3 linked regions of the Schizosaccharomyces pombe genome follow. Changing the gene in region 2 together with the main gene of any one other region gives a genetic interaction. Each region holds a gene or a part of one and is shown on either strand. Other genes may lie near its edges.

The links.
Region 1: mutations in pud1 (region 2) and mug73 together harm fitness less than expected from each alone (positive genetic interaction), as found in Schizosaccharomyces pombe (one large-scale study listed by BioGRID).
Region 3: mutations in pud1 (region 2) and irc20 together harm fitness less than expected from each alone (positive genetic interaction), as found in Schizosaccharomyces pombe (one large-scale study listed by BioGRID).

Annotation. Positions count from the first base shown.
Region 1 is NC_003421.2:623,016-626,580, reverse strand, and holds mug73 (transporter mug73), read left to right. Parts: upstream 1-2,053; coding exon 2,054-2,974; 3' UTR 2,975-3,065; downstream 3,066-3,565. Other genes in the region: RNA-binding protein mlo1, read left to right, coding at 356-1,093; msy1 (MS ion channel protein 1), read right to left, coding at 3,522-3,565. UniProt on the Schizosaccharomyces pombe protein: Has a role in meiosis.
Region 2 is NC_003424.3:1,190,813-1,194,313, reverse strand, and holds pud1 (pseudouridine-5'-phosphatase Pud1), read right to left. Parts: upstream 1,814-3,501; 5' UTR 1,770-1,813; coding exon 1,722-1,769; intron 1,653-1,721; coding exon 1,610-1,652; exon of another isoform or gene 1,536-1,609; coding exon 1,473-1,535; exon of another isoform or gene 1,399-1,472; coding exon 1,304-1,398; exon of another isoform or gene 1,253-1,303; coding exon 1,169-1,252; exon of another isoform or gene 1,118-1,168; coding exon 701-1,117; 3' UTR 558-700; downstream 1-557. Other genes in the region: Rab family GTPase Ryh1, read left to right, coding at 1-117.
Region 3 is NC_003424.3:4,657,227-4,664,343, forward strand, and holds irc20 (ATP-dependent DNA helicase), read left to right. Parts: upstream 1-1,870; 5' UTR 1,871-2,029; coding exon 2,030-5,351; intron 5,352-5,370; exon of another isoform or gene 5,371-5,391; coding exon 5,392-5,657; intron 5,658-5,695; coding exon 5,696-5,895; intron 5,896-5,937; coding exon 5,938-5,978; intron 5,979-6,018; coding exon 6,019-6,317; 3' UTR 6,318-6,617; downstream 6,618-7,117. Other genes in the region: ornithine decarboxylase Spe1, read right to left, coding at 1-792.

The DNA of each region.
Region 1 (3,565 bases), on a different chromosome or scaffold from region 2:
GCCAATTCAAAATTACGATTAATTAAAGTAAAAAATAAATATTAAATAATCTAACTGATTACTGATTTTGATTCGTACATTTCATATAAAAGGGAGAAAGTATATCCCAACATCGTTTATAGACATTTTCTTTGAACCATCTCCTCACCATAGCACAGTAAACATTACATAGCGATACGCAAAATAGCACCACTATGTTTGACACAATCATCACTCCAATTCACTACGCTTCATTTGCGCATCCAACATGTCTCACTAAAGTTGGCTGGTTCGTACATATTCACCCTTGTCAACTGCGTATATCCCGAATTCAATAAACGTGTTATTTTGACGCGCATATACGTCTATATTCATAATGTCAGATTACAAGAGTCTTAAAGTTGCAGAACTGCGTGAAAAACTTGCGGAGAAAGGCCTCTCCACTGCTGGAAACAAAGCTGAATTGGTAAGCCGATTGACAGCAGCGACCGAGAGTAACGATGAAAATACTTCGAATAACAACGCTACAGATCTAGGAGATCTTGCTCCTCCCGAGGATGATATTGATTGGGGAGACATGGAGAATGATACTATTTCAACTGACGTTAACAAGCCAGCAGAACCCGAAAGTAAAGAGACCAGTGCTCCTGCCGCTGCTGTAGAGATTGAAAAGGAAAATGAAAGCATTATTTCGAAAGAGACTTCACAAGCTCCTGAAACTTCCACTGGTGCTGAAGAGCATCAAGAAACCACAGAGGAATCCAAACAAAGTGTATCTAATGAAGTCTCTAGCCCAGATGTAGCTAAAGAGCAAGAAAAACTCATCCAAAGGGCTAAACGATTTGGCATTCCTGTGGACGATGAACAAATTAAGAAAGCTGCTCGTGCTGCACGTTTTGGCATTCAACAACCTTTAGCGTCAAGTAATAACAAAAACCATAATCAATCTAAGAACCCTCAAAATCGTTCCAACTCACGTTCTAAACAAAGAAATAAGAATGCGCCTCCTAAAAGTGCTCCATCCAAGCGGAAGAGTAATATTTTGGACGACCCTATAGAGGCAGAAAAAGCTAGGAAGCGTGCTGAGCGCTTTGGTGTTGCTGCCAAGAATTAAAGTAACCATTTAACATATTTTAACTTCTTATTTTACAATATGACTCATGTTTCTTGAAGTTTTCTCCTCATGCCATGCTTTATTTGTATGCTTAATGCTTTTTTGATGAATTAGAACTTTTGAATTCCTATTTGTGTATATAAATTATACCCAGACTTTTGCTTCACTTTAAACAACTTATCCGAGTACAAGCATCCGATATTGGAGCCCTAAACGCTTCTAATTTCAATCCTACCTTTTAGGTGTGTTTTAAAACATCTGTGAAAACTCGGTTTTATTTTTTTAATAGCTTTTTGGGGCGTGATGTAAGTATTTCCTAGGCGAATTCTTTAATAGTTACCTATACTCATATGTTTTCCATTTTTAAAAAACTCTTCGTTCTAATCGTTTTGACATACACATTCGTTACAAAGATTTTCCACTCTGCTATCCATATGTATATATTTTGATGAGCTTATTTGTATTTAAGAAAAAGAGAAGGATTGTAATGTTTATATGATGTATCCACCTTTACTTCCAACAATGTCGAAATTCTTAATTTTTGTACATAAACTATTTTCTACAGGTTGGAATTTTATTTTTTTATTATACCTTTTTGTTTCTCAACTTCGGACTTCTTCTGTAACGTGCGACTTTACCTGTTTTGCTGTCATCGGTAAGTAAGAAAAAGTGAAAAATTTGACATTGCTGGCTGTAATGTTCTTTTGCGTTTTCTCAATTAGAGTCAATTAAAATGCCTTTTAATGGGAAAGAGTAACATCATTGTTTGTTTACATGTTGAAGTTTGTTTGTTTACAAACATGGCTTTTTAATCGACTTTTCTCAGAGCCACCTTCACCGTGTCTCAGCTACCCATTATTACAAAGTTTTGACTTTTCAACTCAACTAGTATCGCTACCTTTAAGAATATAAGAGTTGTTTCTATATCTTTTAATCCAGCCTCTATCCTGTTTACGCATCATGAATGCGAAATTATCTTCCTCCGGAATGGTACTGAAAGAGCTTCCGGAAGTCGCTTTGCAAAAGATAAGCTCAAACTACTATTGGGCTGTTTTTGCAGTGTTCCTGCTGTGCGCAATTGTCTTTCCTTTAGTATCGATATTCAGTTTGCCTCAAAAGCAGACTTACCACCGTTTCTTTTCCATCCTCAGTTTGGTTTCTTGCTTGGCCTACTTTACCATGGCCTGCAATTATGGATTGAAAAATGTGTTTTCTTCTGCTTCTTTTTTTCGAGAAGTTAGTGTACGAATGGTTTACTATGTTCGCTATATTCAATGGTTAATCAATTTCCCATTAATCATCGTAATGCTACATTGGACGGTAGGCGTATCTATACTAGAAATTGCATATGTCGTTTGCTATGTGCTTTTTGCGATTGTTTGCTTACTGGCGGCAGCATTAACTTCATCTCCCTATAAATGGGCCTATTACGGATTTTCGTTTGTAGGCTATTTTATTGCATTGGCACACTCAGTCGTTTTGCATAAAAAGTATGCTAGCCGTTTAGAGACGTCTGCGCGCCTAGGGTTTTTATGGTCAATTGTTTACTTACATGTCATTTGGTTCCTCTATTATGCATGTTGGATTTTATCTGAGGGCCTCAATGTTATCTCGCCAATTGGAGAAGCCATATTTTACAGTATATTAGATCTTTTCGAATTCGGCTTTTTTGGCGCTGCTTTTTCTTGGATGCTAGACTTGGTTGGTATTGAAAACTTTAAATCGCCTCAATCGATACCCTTAGGGGCATGCAGTCCTGCTGATGACAAGTTTTCAATGTGTCCGGACATGGAGGCACAAAACCAAGCTGATGATTTGGCCGTTGAAACTCGCATTCAAATTTCCAATTTACCTTCTTCACCTACGAAAAATAATTGCTAATAACAGTACGCATCGTTGCAGTTATCTTTGCTTAGTTATAGAAATTTACCTTCCGTTTTTTTTTTTTTTGTTTTTTAATCATTATTTGTTTCCTGAATGTTTAAAACAAACTCGAAGTTTCGCTACGAGAATTTCGTTGGCATTCTAAAACACAAACACTTTTTCGTGAAAAATTACGATTATGAAAACGAAATAATTATTATAAAAACGAAACCTTTGAACAATTATTAACGTTCATTCGCACTTGAAACGTCTAAATTTACGACGGTGAGTCATTGTTTACGTGAAAAAAGCATTATACTAGTTTTAGTTTAAGATTATTCGTAAATCATTTGCATAACTTTTACGAAACTTTACAAGGCATAGCTAATATTAATACAAAAATTTGCTGTTGAGATACAATATACGTTTAAACATTTCATAGAATAATAAATAAAAACTAAAAAAAAGAAACAAATAGTGCCCAAAATGGTAAATAGCCACTTTCAACGAATGAAGTAAGTAAAACTAGCATGAGCGATGCAAGTTTGCAAAGTGTTATGGGTATTTAAAGTCGAGCAGACTTAGAAGTATTATTTTCGTTTGGCTCAC
Region 2 (3,501 bases):
TTGTTTAGGAAAATTGCACAAATGTTACCAGGCATGGAGAATGTGGAAACACAAAGCACTCAAATGATTGACGTTAGCATTCAGCCTAACGAGAATGAAAGCAGCTGCAATTGCTAGTGTATCTCATTGAACATGTCAGTGTACTCTAACTGTTTCGTGAATTATTTTTTTTCGCTTCAGGCCGCAATCAGCGGTTTTTAATGTCATTTGACCCTCAAAAAGTATACTGTGAGTATATATATATCTTCTTATAGCCCCTAAATCTTTTGCACCTTTAAAGAATCGCGATTCCTTTTATACCTGTTTCCTTTTCCTTCTTTTTTTACTTGTTTTAGTCCTTTTTTATTTTAATCCTGTCTCTATGATATATGCTTTACAAAAGTGAGAAGTTGAATTTCTGAATAAGTCTCTTTCGTTTAATCCCTGCGGTGCTTCTTGACTTTTCAAGGGCATTTGCAAAGAAGGAAAAAAATTACAATGTATGATTTTGGAATTCAGAGAAATGTTATTATTTTTTTTTTTTTAGATTTCGCTTTTTCCCTTTACTCATAAGTTATTTATGCTATGTGAGTCAGTTCAAGGTTTTCATTGAAACAGTAGAACTTTATTTATACTTCAATTTTTTAATTTTATTAAAAGATATGAGGTTTTTTGCCAAAAAAAATTGAATGAACCAAAAAAAAGTTAGCGGATATAACCTCTAGGCCTGCTTTGAATTTATGTTAAGATATTTGTTTATATCAAACTCTGAAAGACTCGGTAACGTCTCACATTGAGAATCAACAATCTCATTCAGCTGATCCCCTACCAAGTTTTTGATGGCAGCATCTGGAACCCAAATGACATGCATTCCTGCAGCCTTTGCACTTTTGACACCGGGAATACTGTCTTCAAAGGCAATGCATTGGCTTGGTGTAAGTGCCTTCAAACCTCGCTGCTTCCTACTTTCATTTATTAAATTCAACACCTTCAGCCAAATGTCTGGAAAAGGTTTGCCACGACCAGGTGCAATACTAGGATTATCACCTGTAATAACATTTTTACCAAATTTCTCAAAAATATGTTTAAGATGGGCTGTCTTCATATTATAATTTGCGGTATTAGAGGAAGTAGCAAGCTGGTGATGCTGTTAGCACACTTTTATTATAGCGTAGGGATGAGTACATACCCCGATATCAATTCCATGATTGGAGAGGTTATTAATCAAAGATTCAGCCCCAGGCATAGGCTTCAAAGACGACCAAAACTTTGCCTTTCAGAAAGTTAGTTGAAATGGAAATAAATGTAGCGTATAAGTACGTACCCGAATAACCTGTTGTTCATCAACGAATTGTTGAGGAGTCATAGGAATGTTGGACCAATCTATAACAACCTTGGCAGCTGCGGAACCCGGTCTCCCTACGTATCGCAAGTTAGACCTGCAATTTTGAAAGCATTTTAAAATATCTCTTCGCTAGCTTTATATAACATACCCATCATTTGAGCCTTAACAGAAATAGGAAGAGGATCCTTGCCATACCTGTCCAATATAAGATCTATAAAAAAAATAAAGATTAGAAAACATTGTAGTTTTGTGCTAAATATAAGCACAGATATATTATTTACATACTGGTCGTCTTTGTATAAATAGTTTCACTGTCGACAAGTAGACCCTGTAAAAAGAGTGATTGTTAATGCAAAAGCTTTCATAAGAGGTAATGTGGTGTGAAAAATAAACATACATCCATATCGAATAGACAAGCCATGTATTTTACGTGTTTAGCAGCCATTTCTAGGTAAAAAGATAGTGAAGCTTCTACGACCTAACAAAACCAAAGAAAAAAAAAAGCAGAAAAAAAACTTCCGGGATATCCAAAAAATCAAGTTTCAAAAAAGTATATTGCTGTATAACCAATAAAAAAGTATAAAATCTTCCAAAACAAGAATTAACAATTAAATATACAAATACAATTAAAGAAAACAAAGACACCGACAAATGAAGTGTTAACTGTATATCTAATTAAAAAAATCCGCGAAAAACCAAAAAATAAGGACAGTTGTTAAAGATCAACAAAGAAACGTCGATACAGTAAGGCGTGATAATTAGGCAGAATGAAAAATAGCTAAATCCCAAAACTGTGCAAACTGCAATAAGTAATCAACAATCGTAGATTAGAGTAAATCCGTGTGTCGGATGATTGGGAGCAATATTGAAGAGTTCGTTAATCTGTTTTAGTGAGAATTCAACCGCACTACTGAAAGAGAATTAAGCGTTTATATTAACCATGAAATTGTAATCCGGTTTTAATGATGCCTTAAGCTGTGGTGAATTTTCCTTGTAATTTACTTATCTATATCGCGGTACCCAGGTAGTGTAAGTTAGCGATTGTTTTGGGATATTTTTCTATGAAGGTGATGAATATTTTGACACTGAGATCGTTCATTTCCAAATTGAATAATACTGGTTCTGTTAGGCTCTCATTATATATCAATGAATAATATCCAGCTGACTATAAGCAATGATGAACCTATCCTGTATCATTTATGTACAGTGAATAGAGAAATAAAACATTTGACATATTGCGATGTATAACAGAATTGAACATAGCGAACAGCTCACGCATTATTCTCGAATCAAGCAGGCAATGATTCGCCCAGGAATCTCATACTAAAACATTGTATAAACAGAAGTTGAGGGAAAAGGAAAAGTCTCAATGACCAGCCATTCTCCCTCATGAAGTATGCTATGTTGAATTTTTTTTGTTTTAATTACTCTCTTTGGTTTTTAAAGCGTTTCTGATAAAGCCACTTGGATTCTGTTCATAAAATGGTGACTAATCAGTTAGCTATTGGAACCCATTTTGGCCATGTATTTTGAAAAGAAGAGCTGGTCAGACAAAATTTACAAGTACAATAGCGACGCACGTTAGCCATGTCGTAGAATCGTGTCAACTATAATGTGAAATTGTTGGACCGAGTGTAGAAAAACAGTCAAAGTTTGTTTTAACCAAGGTCACAAGTACCTCACTGTTAGGCGAGTTGGAGGATCTTTGCCGGATGACGAAAAATATGGATATTTAACACAGCAATAAATAACAAATGCAGATTGCCGTGAGGACAGAAAACAAAGATAAAACATTTTTGAAAGTCTCCTCATGCGGCTCCGGTTACATGGGAATTTGTAGGATTTTGTAATGAGTGCGTCGAGCAAAGCAGTTGAAACGAGTGGATTGTTGAAAGAAGCCAAGTGTAAATAAAAAAAAGGGTAAATACAAAAAAATATCACAAGATTCTATAAAGTATCATAAGACTACTGTCTATATTTTTAGTTAAACTGTTTTCATATTTTTTATTATCTATTTTCTTTATTTTCTCTTTATTTAGTTACAGCCTATTAATTTTTTTTTGAAAATTTAATTTACTTAGGCCCAACAATATGGCTTAACTAGAGCTTCAGCCAAACAAAGAATACAAACACAGAATTGCTTACAAATCGAGTGCATTGCATACATCATAAATAAA
Region 3 (7,117 bases), 3.5 Mb from region 2:
ACCAATGTCCAACAAGTCAAAATTAAATCCCCTTTCAAGTCCCTGATCAAATACCTGACGAGATCGTTGGATAGCATCCAAAAATGCTGAGGGATCATAGCTTCCTGACCCAACGTGAAAGCTAACACCGACGACATTTAACTCCAGGGACTTTGCGATGTCTAGCAGCTTACCAGTATCATCGAGAGAAGCACCAAACTTTAGACTGAGACGGCAAAGACTATTGGAATCATCGGTAGAAATACGAAGAAGAAGACGTGAGTTGGGATGATGTTGTTTCACCTTGTACAGCTCATCGGCATTATCAAAAGTCATCAGATTAATGCCTTTAGAAGCAGCATAGCGCACATAAGTTATGGCTTTACAAGGATTGGCGTATACAATTCGATCAGGGGATACACCTAAGCCAAGAATTTGTTCGAGTTCACCCTTAGAAGCACAGTCAAAACCAGTTCCAAATTTATTAAGCAATGCAAGTACCTTAGGATCAGGATTACATTTGACTGCATAAAATGGTTGAACACGAGGTAATTTAGCATGCCAACGAAGAAGTTGGCGATATACTCCGTTCAAATCAGCAACAAAAAATGCATCAGAGTCAGCGGGTTCACCACGGACAGCTGCACGCTCAATTTCCTCAATCGTGTTTTTAAACGCCTCACCAATCGCCTGGCGAGACGATCCAGGCGAAGACCATGTCACCACTGAGTCAATTGGTTTAACATGGCCAAGTAATTCCGTCGTACGCAACGACTCGCTGACGAGCATATTCTTTTCCATAATAGCAGGCATCGTGTAAGTAAGCTTTTTCTCTTCTAGAAATTCCGAGATCACTAAATTGAATCGTTGAATAATTTTTCTTCGGATACAAGCTAAACAAACGTTTTGTTTGTCAACTGCTCGCTTTACAATAATTTTACTATTTCAAATCAATCAATGATTTGAAATCTGCTGTTGATCAAAAAGTCCTTATTCGAGAGATTGTCTTAAATAGGAGACGTAGACGGAAATTTGCACTTTTATATACTTTTGGTGGTCGCGCAAAAAGAGCGTTTATCCTTCCAGATTCTTTTTCTTACCCACTTGTCACTGTTTTCTGCTAATTCCCAATCGTGTTGTTGGTTAAGGGTAAGTTCAATTTTGCAATGTGTGCGTACATAAAAAAATATTACACACTAGTAGAATTAACCTTAGTTTAGCGTTTGTCTTATTGACATAATAGTCTAACAAATCGAATTGCAATGTAATACGGTAAACGCAGTTTGGTTTAACAATATTTGCGACGACAAGAATCCTTCAAACTAGGATATTTCTTTAATATGTATACAATCTTTAGTTTATATTTTGTACTTTAGTTTATGACAATAACAATAATCTTTGTCCAGTGAAGGTGACATCACTTTTAAAAACTTTCCTACCAGTTTACGTTTTATTTAGAATTTATATTTTTTTGCTAATTGAATTAAACTTGGTAATCGATATATACTTAAAGGATGAGCACAGTGTTTTAGCAATAAGGAATAGTGTGTTTGTACAATACCGAGTAAAAAGGGCTCTTTCTTTTAGCCAGCAAATGAGATATTAAGTGTATCGGTAATTTTAATAGTATTTACAATTTACTTACTAATTAACGTAGATGTTATTTCTTAGGTAATTTTGAGTTCTAATTCGTGTTTGTACTGATTCAACCGTGAATAATAGAATTCCCTTACAAACGATTTATCGATATTTACCTTGTCGTACTTTTAAACCAAAAAAAAAAAGAGGGAAGAAAGGTGGGGAAAAAATACCAAAGTAATATTCGACTCTGCAAGCTTTAGCAAAAAAAAAGTGGCACATGTTTTAATCAAGACACTTTTTGCCCACAACTAAGAACAAAAGCACATAACACAATGCCTACCCTTTTGTGTTCTTGAGGGTTTATATATTTTCGTTTATTTCTTTGTACATTAAAGAATTCTATTCATTCTAAAATTTTTAAGTCTATTGGTTCAAAACACGACTGTATTTAATTAAGAGAGGGAACATTATGGACCGAACTAAGAGGCGAAAAATAGAGAAGGAGGCTTCCTTACTAAATGAAAGAAACAACCTTTTGGAAAGTGATTTCGCCAATTGCTACCGTGCATTCCAGCACCAACTCAAGCTAGACCAGCAGATATGGCGTGGACCAGAGGACGAGTTAAATCGGCTAAAGTCTACTATTTATCCTGTCGTTTTTTGGGTTGATGGATCTGAGAAACTACATGCATATAGTTTTACTCAAAGAAAAATTTCATTGGCCAAAAACTTGATTCCTTTGTTTTCTGTCGACTTGAATAAGGATACTTACTCTGCTTTAAAAGCACCTCTCAAAATTTGGAGTAAGCTTTGGGAGGATAATAGGCGGCTGAAGAAAATTATAAAATACACATCTTATGTTACTGTAAAAGGATCCGAGTTAATTTTGTCGTTTGGCATTTCCATACTCGACTCTTTTCTTGCCCCTCAAGATGCGATTCTTTCATCTGGATCATCTTCCTCATACACTGCTTTACTAGACTATACGTTCCTTCCGTCTGAAGATGAGGAATATTCTTGTTTAGATATTAACACTGCACTATTTTACGATTGTGCAAGAAAATTGGCAAAAAGCCTACGTTTCGCCAATGTATCACGCGATCCAAGGCTTTCTTCGGAACTTTTACCATTTCAAATGCGTGTTTTAGAATGGATGAAACGAAGAGAAGAAGAGAAATTCCTAACCTCAAATGATTTACCACCTCTATGGTACCATTGCAAAAGTCTTTTTGATGATCGAATGGTTTACGTTAATCATGTTTACGGCTATATGACATTTTCGAAAGAAAAAACATATTTGCTTGCGTCCGGTGATATACGTGGAGGCATTTTAGCCGATGAAATGGGCATGGGAAAAACTTTGGAAGTCTTAGGATTAGTTTTGCATCATCAGTTGCCAATTTCTTTGACTGATACTTGTACTTTCGATCAGGTCGTCGGAAAAAATGTAAAGTATTCCAAGGCCACCCTAATAATTACGCCTTCTACAATTCTCGATCAATGGTTATCTGAGATAGATTTGCATGTGCCATCATTGAAAGTATTCCATTACCAAGGAATCCGAAAATCCAATGGTTTGAAATCAGCTAAAATTTTTTTGGATTGTGATATAGTGGTAACATCTTATTCTGATTTACGGTTTGAGCTATTGTACACTGAATCTCATTCCAGGACCTTAAGACATGAAAAGCGACATGTTTCTCCAAAGTCTCCATTGATTGATGTATGTTGGTGGAGAATTTGTGTTGATGAAGCTCAGATGGTTGAAACTTCACAGAGTAATGTCGCACAAATGATTTATCGCATACCTCGTGTCAATTGTTGGACTGTAAGTGGAACTCCCGTACGTAGTGAAGTTGATGACCTTTTTGGCCTTTTATTTCTTCTTCGCTACTCCCCTATGTATTTATACAAAAAACAAGCTTGGATGCAAATTATAGAGAAGAAACGTGTTCGTGAATTTTGCGATCTGTTTGGCTCCCTTGTATGCAGACATTCTAAACAGGACGTTGAAGAAGAATTAAAATTACCTCCTCAACATCGAATCTGCATGACTACAAGACTTAGTGTAGTAGAAGAAACGAACTACCAGGATTTATTATCAGAGGCGGCCAAGTCTTTGCACTTTTTCAAAGACAGAAATTTGGATTTGTGTGACGAAGAATCTATGAGGCGTTGGTTGGTTCGTTTACGACAGGCATGTTGCCATCCGCAGGTTGGATTTGGTAACAAATCCGCATTTGGAGGTGGACCCATGAAAAGCATTAATGATGTATTAGTTTTTATGTTGGAACAAACAAACTCTACATTCTCCTCGTTAAACAGGAAGCTTTATTCCGATAAGATTATTGTTGGTCAAATATATGATCATATTAAAGACTATAATAAAGCATTGGCTATTTGGTCTGAAGTCAGAATACCTGTCGAGCTCGCTGTCAAAGAATTAGAAAATGTTATTTACAACTCTAAATATGAGGACCATGGTAAAAATTTACCGATTAATTATTTTGGTTTGGATCATTTCATTCATCTGCGTGTTTGGTATGTTCTATTGCATAAAATATACTTTTTTATAGCAAGCGCTTATTTTTCTTTAAAAAACGAAAAGTTTGAAAATGAATTTTATTTGCTCGCGCAGGATTTAAGAAGGAAGATTATGAGTGATGTGATTATCAAAACCAGCAAGCACCTTGAAGAGTTTTCAGAAAAATTTATTCCAAAGAAACTTGTCAAAATACCACGATTACAGAAATCTTACGCAAAAGGTCTCATAACCGGACATGGTATAATTGAAGACTATAATAGACTTTATAAAGAGTTGAATGATCAAAAGGAGGTGCTTATAAAATTTAGAGATCGGCTTATCCATTTGATGAAACTTCCACTTCTGGATCAAGAATCGGATCCGACCGGCGATGAATACGAAGAATCATTGAATGCGCAATCAGAGATATCCTATTGTATTGATGTTTACCGTCAAATGCTTTCAGATCGAGTAGCGGCAGTCAGCGGTACTATTAATACCTTTGTGTCTCATGAAACAGAACTTGAGAAATACAAACTTATAGAGAGTATAAAAAAATCGGAGAAATCGTTAGACAAGCAGGCTGAAGAACGTGATAAAAAATATTTGCTTTACTTTGAGGAAAGGGAAGAAGCAAGGCCAAAAGCAGATCAATACGGATCATTAATAAATATAGTTTCAAGACTGTTAGATGCATCAAATAGATCCACCTCAAGTTTTGAAACTTCTAAAAACATGGAAGAATATGAACGGATTGATGCAATGGCAAAGGAGCAATCTAGAATTTGCCAAAAATTGGAAAAAGAATTGAGTATAATTCAGTTGACTTATAATTCAAGGATTGAGTACTATAAACAGCTGCAGGAAATTTCTGACTCTTTGATGCCTCCTCCCGTTTCAAATATCAGTTTAAACAATTACGTTAAAGACGACGAAAAAAAACAAAAATTTTTGAACTCTGTTATAATTAAAGCTTCGGTGATTTTGGAAAAAGAAATTTCAGAAAAGCAGGACGAAGCAAGTCAAACAACAAACGTAGCAGAACTCGTCAATCAAAAAATATCCGAAATGAATATACCTGGACATATCCATCTGCTGCGAGAGCTAGAAGAGGAAAAAAGCAATACCCAACGTAAAATTGCTCACTTCGAATCAAGGAGAAGGTATTTAACAAACCTATATGAACATATTGTCCTTAAAGCTGAATCTCATCAGATTTGTATAATTTGTCGTGATATAATTAAGCAAGGTTTTATAACAACTTGTGGTAAGTATTTGTTGGATCGTTTATCTAGTTAACTTGTTAGGCCATTTGTACTGTAGTTTTTGTTTGGAAGCGTGGTTGAAGCATAGTTCGTCGTGTCCAATGTGCAAAACCAAATTGAACAAAAATAATGCTTACTATATTGGCGAAAGTAGGGATATATACTCTCGTCAAGAGTTTGTCACTGGTTTCAACAAACGAGACGAAAGGCTTGAAATTCTCGACGATGAAGCATACAGGCAAATTTCTAATATGGAGTTAAAGGAGTCATTTGGATCAAAAATTGACACAATATCTAAACATCTTTTGGTAAGCAACATTTGTATTTAGAGTGGATCTAACTTTAGTATTTGAAACATAACGAACTTTATCCTAAAGTTGTTGTATTCTCTCAATGGCTTGATGTTTTGGATGTTTTGCACAAGTCATTTGAAGCGAATGGTATCGTCTTCATACGTTTTGATGGAAAGTCAAAGAACACTTGCCTAAAAAGGTTTAAAGAAGAACGTAGCTTACAAGTACTTACTTTACATGCAAGATCGCAATCGTATGTTTAAACTGTTTAATTATTTGTTCTAATCTTCATTAGATCTGGTTTGACGTTAACAAATGCCACTCACGTTTTCATGTGTACGTCGATATCTGTATTAACAAGTTTTAACATTGACAGGTGAACCATTACTAAATAGTGGAATTGAAATGCAAGCAATTTCACGCGTTCATCGAATTGGGCAAACTCGTCCGACGTTTGTTTACTACTACATTGTGGAAGATACTGTTGAAGGTCATATTTTAAATCTTTCATTGACCAAACATGAGCAGCTTGACAAACTAGGTTTGGATGTACCGCTAGTTGGTAATATCAATCGCACTACTGAAGCTAGCAGCGGCGGAGAACAAGTTGATGCCGCAGAAATTAAAGATTGTCTTAAAATGGCTTTAAAGCGGCTCACCACAGAGGATTCATGAACATGAAAAAATTGATTTTAGAGAATGATGCTGATAGGTCAGGTTTAAACAGAATAAACGGCAATACTGTACTACTTATTGGTGACAGTGATGTATGGTTAATCCTGAAGTACCCCTTCGCTCAATACTGTTCAATTATTCATCTGTTATTAAAGCAAAGCACGAAGCATTAGTTGGTTTTCACTGGTTAGATTGTGCAAACACTTAGAGTCCGAATTACAGGAAACTTATACTTAATTTAACATTGTACTGTTGTATTAATTATAACCACTTTTTTAAATACAAACCTATGTAAATATTAGAAATTAATATAGCAAGAAAGGTCGCATTTCTCATTCTGGGTATTGGATTAAAACATATTGTCTTTGTTTTTCATTGATATCAGCGATGTTACTGGGCTATTAAATGCGATGTTAATTTATAACTATAACTATAGAATGAACATACGTTTGTGCTACGAATATACACTCGTTGTTATTAAGTTATCTTTTTTTTTTTAATAAAAATGAACAGGACTATTTGAACTATGAAACGTAAGTTCTTTTAGCATCATATTCAATTATAGTTAAACAAAATTGTTTATTACTATTAAAATAACACTGATTATCTTTGGAGACATACTTTATATCAAATTACAATAATTATTAATAAAACTCATTGCAATTTATTTTTCTCAACTGCGTTAGCTAATTCACTGCTACGCGATATAACTAATTAACGATTGCTGCTTCAGCTCGATAATTCCTTTTCGTCAAGGATACATTGCGATATAGTCTTAAGAGAGCAAACTGCATAAAGCC